2 linked regions of the Canis lupus familiaris genome follow. The protein of the gene in region 1 purifies or fractionates together with the protein of each later gene. This does not show direct contact. Links are inferred from orthologs where the notes say so. Each region holds a gene or a part of one and is shown on either strand. Other genes may lie near its edges. The genes, in order: RAB3GAP1 and VAPB.

The links.
Region 2: the proteins of RAB3GAP1 (region 1) and VAPB purify together in Homo sapiens (affinity purification with mass spectrometry; 4 studies listed by BioGRID and IntAct, counting the BioPlex papers as one, with this or other methods). This does not show direct contact. The link is inferred for Canis lupus familiaris from reciprocal best matches to the Homo sapiens genes RAB3GAP1 and VAPB.

What each region holds. Positions count from the first base shown.
Region 1 is NC_049240.1:39,439,653-39,443,084, reverse strand, and holds the end of RAB3GAP1 (rab3 GTPase-activating protein catalytic subunit), read right to left. Parts: intron 3,348-3,432; coding exon 3,327-3,347; intron 2,956-3,326; coding exon of another isoform or gene 2,920-2,955; exon of another isoform or gene 2,550-2,919; intron 2,474-2,549; coding exon 2,237-2,473; 3' UTR 635-2,236; downstream 1-634. UniProt on the Homo sapiens protein: Catalytic subunit of the Rab3 GTPase-activating (Rab3GAP) complex composed of RAB3GAP1 and RAB3GAP2, which has GTPase-activating protein (GAP) activity towards various Rab3 subfamily members (RAB3A, RAB3B, RAB3C and RAB3D), RAB5A and RAB43, and guanine nucleotide exchange factor (GEF) activity towards RAB18.
Region 2 is NC_049245.1:43,975,978-43,979,799, forward strand, and holds part of VAPB (vesicle-associated membrane protein-associated protein B/C), read left to right. Parts: intron 1-154; coding exon 155-331; intron 332-3,110; coding exon 3,111-3,269; 3' UTR 3,270-3,822. UniProt on the Homo sapiens protein: Endoplasmic reticulum (ER)-anchored protein that mediates the formation of contact sites between the ER and endosomes via interaction with FFAT motif-containing proteins such as STARD3 or WDR44.

The sequences.
Region 1 (3,432 bases):
CTTCATGGGGGAGCAGCGGCAATATCACATTAAATTATCCACAAGTGGACAGGGTATAGTTCTTCTTTGCAAGCAATTTACAATATTTTCCCAACTCTTCATCAGCTCCTACGCATCTTCTGGTCCCAACCTAGAAATTACCTCTATGAAGATATTCCTGATCCCTAAGCCTGAGTAAAAAAACCTCTCTTATAATACCTTATTATTAGACACATTATTCACTAATAATGCATGTATTACTCTCTGTTGCTACTGAATGAATTTATACAATAAATGCTGGACCTCCAGTTCACAGATGAGTTGACTATACTCTCCATTTTATGGCAATGTAGCATCAACCTTCCCTACATGACAGAAAGGTCACTGAAAAGGAAGGAGTGTACTGCTATGTTTTATCTTTACTGCCTAGTATAGTGCCTGAAAGCAGGTGCTTAAAAATATCTGTGAAATAAACATAACTATAATAAAAGTAAAGTGGGGTAACTGCCACTAAAAAAGAAGGCACAGAGAGCGTTCTTGAGACCCCTGCAAGACTCAGCAGGCTGCAAATATTTAGGAAGATGTGAGACAGCATAAAACTAACTGAAATAAGACCAAAGCGCCCACCAGAGGAGAGAAAAGAAAAGTAGCCAGAGAAAGCAAGACTTTTCTTTTTATTAGATTTACAATGACATTTTAAAGTCCAACCTCTCTTTAAAAAACGTTTCTTTGCTTTAACTTCCTCACCGGAAAGCAGACAAATCCTGTCCTTGAAAGATCCATTTTCTACTTGATACAGTGCTCAGTACTCAGGCCTGATCTGTATGGTTTACCAGCAGCAGTCAAGTCCAGCATCTCAGAGAAAAGCACTGTGAAGGCTGGGAGGCAAATCAGGACCAATCAGGACCTCCCCTACTTCATATATACATATATACATATATATGTGCACACAGACATATATATGTACACTTTTTATTACAAAAATAATATAATTAGGTTTACACAGCTCTATTAATTATTTAAATTACAGAGGCAAAGTCTATGCTTCAGATAATCATTTTTTGTTTTGGATTAAAATGGGAAGTTTAGGCCTAAAAATAGATTTCAGACTGAACAGAGGCCAAATAGCAACAGAGACTTAATAAATCTTGATCACCACATAACTAGAAATATGTTGCTCTTATTCTTCTATTGGGTGCTATATATCCCCAACGATTATTTTCATTTTAACTAAAACACAAAAGCAAAATAGTTCACTGAAATAATCTTATATTCATTACATTAGCACATACACCAAATTATACTAACGACATGATAATCTCTATGTTCCAAAGTTATATTTGTAGCATGTGCTCATCTCTACTCCATTAAATATAGTATCTAGCCAACAATCACAAAAGGAATGCATGCTGTACCGCAAGAGATGGGAACAGTTTGCAGGTTGGCATCTTACTGCAACCAAAAACAAAACAAGAGAAACAAACCTTACAAGGTAAGGTATAAAACTAATTTGCAGTGACATTTAATATATAGTTATATCAGAAGGAATACATTTAGGTCATAGTTAACATGGAAAAACACATAAACTATGAAATTCTAGGTTTTCTCCTAGAATATTCAAAATACTCATCAAAAGTTAATTAGTACAATTAAATGGCCACTAGATGATTGAATAAACAATGTCATTTAGTATTTCAAAAACACAGATTCTGGGAAAAGAAGCTACCACCAAAATATCCAGAAATCCCAATTAATAGATACTCTGTTTTGCATACCTGATACTAACACATGTAACAAATGTGTTTATACAGACTGTGAATGCAAGGCGACAGCCTAAGAGATAGTCACGGGAAAGAATAAATGAGCACAAGCACAAGATAGTCACGGGAAAGAATAAATGAGCACAAGCCCACTTTTCCCATGGGAAAGAATAAATGAGTGAGTACAGAGAGCTCGTGTTGCTTTTCTGGTCCCTGCACATCCCCCCAACTCCTACCTAAGATCCCTAGTCAAACAAGGGCCATCTCTTTGGGGAACATATCTTTCAATAGCTCAAGCTCATTCTCTCTGACCCAACCAAGATACAAAAAAGCCCAAGCACGGTGCTGGAAAGTCTTTCAGATGCTGGTATGATTCCTGATCATGAGACTGGACAGGTCCTCTTCATGGCCTCTCAAGTTCTGACTGGCACAACCTTGCTCCCACAGGAGTGGTCAGCACAGTCTCTGAAGCCATAAATGAGGTTGCTCTAGAAGAATTAGAAGAAGGTGGTATCTGATGAAAAGGCACCTGCAAGTCTGAAATCCTCTTTGGTGAGAACACTGTACATGCGCTGAGGCAGAGCACGGGAGTATGGAGCCGGGCGTGGCACAGTGGTGCGCAAAATGAGTTCCCGGCCAGCAGGAGGGGGGAAGTCTGACACCGAGTTGTGCCTTCTCTCTTCTGGAGAGCCCATTCTCTTCAGTTCCTCCTCTGGTGGAGCCACGGCTGCAGCCTTGAACAGAATCAAATGCTAAATTCAAGAGCAAGTCCAATGCTAAACTTCGATCATTTTGAAGGACAGATGAATAAACATGACATATACATAAAAAAATGTTCTACATTACTCAGTAATGCAGTCAGCCATGTTATGATTACTCAAAAACACAGAAAAAGCAAGAAGCTTGAAACACTGCATGAGCAGCCAGAGATTACAAATAAACTGGTGACAGAGACAAAGAGATAATGACTGCCAAGCAATCTGCTTTGAAAAGTGAGGGCCATATTCCGACATCTGATGAAGAGGGAAAGTGTAGTACTGGTTTCTACACGTTTCTTCTAGCAACAACCCAAGTTCAAGTCTGATGTCCTCAGTCCAGTAAGGAGCTGCTTCTCCCCAGAGTCTGGGAAAATGGTTTTTATCTCCACTCTTTCATTTCTTTTTAAGGTTCACTTGACAAATTAAAACTGGGGACACTGGTTTTGTTTGCTGAGCGGCTAAGGTGATAAAGAAGTGATACAGGTCCATGTAATACAGCAATGGCCACAAAAGAGAAGTTCTTAGTATTAAAGGCATCTATTTTTTGCATTAAAATTGCATTAAAAAATCCAATTAGAGCTTTCATTTCAACCTTGATCAATATACTTTTTTCATTTCTCTAATTACTTGATTTCTTTCATAACACCATCAATATAAAAAAAAGAGTATTGTTTTGGCAATGGAAATACGAAATCATGTTATACTAAACATCAGCATGAAAGGTATGCCAAATTAGACTGTTAAAGAGGTGGTTAGTCTTAATGACCTTATGAAGTTAGAGGGATGGGAAGGAACAAGGAACTATGAGGGACAAAAGCTATTTTGTTACCTCATCAGAAGATTCAGTCAGCTTGAGAAAAGGTGAGAAAAGAAACAGTGATGAAAAGGAAACGAGCAAGATGGTTTTAAAAGAGCTAGACAAGAGATTTCAAGAT
Region 2 (3,822 bases), on another chromosome or scaffold:
ATAAAGTGATCCATTTTTAAAATAAATGTGACATTTTACAGTGTGGATGAAACGCTACCACGTGTGGTGTTTGCCGAGAACTACTTTACTTTGCATAAAAAAGTCCTTTATTACATAGTTGGTGACACTTGCGCTTTCATTTATTTCTGAACAGCATGATGTAGAAATAAATAAAATTATACCCACAACTGCATCAAAGACAGAAACACCAACGGTGTCTAAAGCTCTGAGTTCTTCTTTGGATGACACTGAAGTTAAGAAGGTGATGGAAGAGTGTAAGAGGCTGCAGGGTGAAGTGCAGAGGCTCCGGGAGGAAAACAAGCAATTCAAGGTAATGGCATTTTCTTTTCTTTTCTTTTCTTTTTTAAGATTTTATTTTTTTAAGTAATCTCTCCATCCAACATGGGGCTTGAACTCACAACCCTGAGATCAAGAGTCACACGCTCTATCAACTGAGCACTCCAATAGTGTTTTATTTCTTGATAATCTATAAAAAACAGGGACTTTTTAACACTCTGATCTTGAGTGGGGGAGTTGACAAATCCCTGAATTTGTAGAGTTGTTTTGTATTTACACATTCTTCCCCTAGGGAGAAATTTCTGTGGCTTTCATCAGGTTCTCAAAAGAGCTCTGATTCCCTCCTGCCACCCCACTCCCACCCCTCAAGTTAACCAGTGTCTGAGGAGAAGCTTTTCAACTATTTAAATTCTTGTTCCCTTGTATTTGATATGTTGTAATAATGTATTTCATCCTCTAAACCTTTCTGTGAGTAGGGATTGTTACCATCCCCAGTGTGCAGGTGAGGAGACTGAGGAGCAGAGGTTAAGTGACTTGCCTGAGGTCGTACTTGCAGTGAGACTTGAACCCAGGCTTTGTGCCCTGAGCTCACAGTGGTTCCATTCTCCGGCCTCAGCCTGCAGACTCTTGTCCTCTTGTAAGAGCTCCTCTTGCCTTCACATTAGTGTAAACTGAAGATAAATTCTGAGACTAAACACAAAACTGCAGTGGTTATCCTGAATTCACAGTGTCAAACCCTACTATATCCCCAGTAGGTGAGAATCTTTTCTTTAGGAGGGTAAATAGGTAAATACCTGTACTCTTTTAACATAGGCATAATTCTGGTTTTTGAAGATTCTAGGTGGGTCTGGGCAGTAGGATCTCCTCAGATTGGTTCACATGGTGATGAGATTGGAGATGGGAAGTTGTCACAGTAGACAGGTGGAGATTATAGAAGGAGAAACCCGGGTCTCCAGCTTGTGGCTGTTGAAGAGGTAGTTGGCATGGGTGTTAAGAGGGTCAGGTTGAACTGGGCAGTAAAGGAAAGTAGGGTGCACTTCATTTGGCCTTGTTGGCCTACGGTGTTATGCCAGTGACTGCTCACACTTGACTAGCTCTGGATCTGTGATGGTCACAGCATCTCCTGGGCCTCGACTCACAAAACCTGTCTGAGGCGCCGTCCAGCCTTAAAAGTATGTCTATTTCAGACATGGTCTTGAAGAGAATGGTTCTGAGCATCTGGTCATAGGAACGTCTGTTGCAGCTTAAATATGAGGCTGGTCTGTTCACTTCTCGATCATGCCACTCACCCATGCCCTAGGCTTTTGCTCTTTAACCACCATAGCACTAGACACATGTAATAAATACATTCCATTCAGTTGACTTCTCCTTCTTTTATTCTGACAGTGTTATAGATACAGGAGACCTGACAGTGTCTGGAGAATGGCATCATCTTCTTTTTTTTGCAGTAATCTTGATTTGCCTCGTTCAGTAACTTCTTTTAGTATGGTGTAAATTATGAAGCTGACACTTTACTTTTTGACTAAAAATCTAAGATATGCCTAAAGCTTCTCCTTGAGTGTATTTCTCTTCAGAAACAGAGTCCTGTGCCGTTTAAAGTGATAAATAGGTAGAAATAGCTTCTGTATAAACCCAATAAAATAAATGCTGTATTTTGCTGTGCCCATTTTTTTTTGAAGTTAATCGAATAACACCAGTCATTTATCACTGTGCAGCGATATTGGCCATGCCCCATGAGCAGAATATCTTTAAAATATTATCAGACCAATCTTGACATTAGAAGATTCTTTATCCTGCCAAATACTGATTTCTTGTTTTGTGTTGTTTCATTCTTTCATTTGGCCAACACATTTTCTGAGCCCCTCCCATGTACTAGCACTGTGGGCACAAATACAAGCTGTCCCTGCCACTGAGGAGCTCCCTGCTGACCAGGGTAGCTGGGGACAAAAGTACTGATGAGCTGAATGATGAGTGGCCCCACAGAGATGGCCACAAGTGCTGTGGAGAGTCAGCACAATGGCCTGCCTGTTGTCTCCAGGACGGACAGGTTTGGGGATGAGTAGTTGGGGTAATTAGCCAGAGATGCACCTGAGCCCAAGTACAGAGGCCTTGCTGCATGCCCTGTTGAGGGGTGTGGAGTTGGCCTTGGGAGTAAAGGAAGAAAAAGTTTCTATTCCATGCATTAAGTAGAAAAATATCTGAGCTGCATATATGAGATTCAGTCACATTTTAATATTCCAAATATCATGTTTTCTGTCCAGCAGTCTACATGTAACTCATCAATACAGAGTTCTGCATTTGAAAGCTGCTGCACAGTGTAGTTTCTTGTGATTTTTATATTTGTGCTTTGAGAAATGCCTATCATTTCAAAACTGGATGACTTGGTTAGGGAAGCCTGCTCCGTAGAGGGAGGGAAGACAGAGAGGGTTGGAGTCCGATGTAGAAGGGTGGCCCGGAGGCATGGCCAGAGAGGTAGATGGCTCCTGGGGGCAGAAGAGACTGGCTGAGCCTTTCAGAGGCTTTTTTCTGTAAGTCCTGGGGAACCAAGGTACTTAGATGTATGGTATAAAAAGGTGCCTAGCAGCATTGTGTAGGTGGGTGGAAGGAAAGAGGGGTTTCTGGCAATATATTCTGAGTGACCTCAACCCAGTGCCTTCTCTGTGGGATTCAGTTTCTCCCTTTGAAAAATGAGGAGGCTGGCCCACACCATGTGATTCAAGTGTGTTTTTTAAAGGCCCATCCTGTTGAACTGACAGTTGACTTTTGCTTCTGGTGCCTTGGGTTGTCTTTGAAATGTGCCTTTGCTCCCGTAGGAGGAAGATGGACTCCGGATGAGGAAGACAGCTCAGAGCAACAGCCCTGTGCCTGTGTTAGCTCCAGCTGGGAAGGAGGAGGGCCTCAGCGCCCGGCTCCTCGCCCTCGTGGTTTTGTTCTTCATCGTCGGTGTGATCATAGGGAAGATCGCCTTGTAGAGGCAGTGGGCACAGGGCGGCACACTGGATTGATGGGCCCGCCATCCCCTGGGCTTTGACTTTATCATAACCATGTGTAAAAAAGAAGTTCATGTATGATGACATCTCACAGGTCTTGCCTTTAAATTACTCCCTCCCTGCGCGTGCGCACGCGTGCACATACACACACACAATTATAACGTAACAATCCTTTAGAGAGTTAAAAATGTATAGTAAATGATTGGGGGAAAAGAATGGTCTTTATTAATGACAAGGGAAACCGTGATTAAATCGTAATGGCATGTCGTGTCATTTTAAACATGTGTAGCCTTGGTACATGTGGCTGGGTTGATTACTTCTCTTAGAACAAGACACTCTTCCTGCCTGTTGGTGCCGGGCCTTGGGGAGCTGGAACCCAGTGCGGTGGGGAGGGCCGTCACCTCCACATAGCAAGCCCCACCCACTCACTCACTCTCTGGGCTGCTGCTCCACGTTCTGTCCCCAGCTGTCGGTTCCTTGGGACTGATGAACAGGGTCAGAAGCCAATGGCATTGTGCTGTGGCAGTGTCAGATC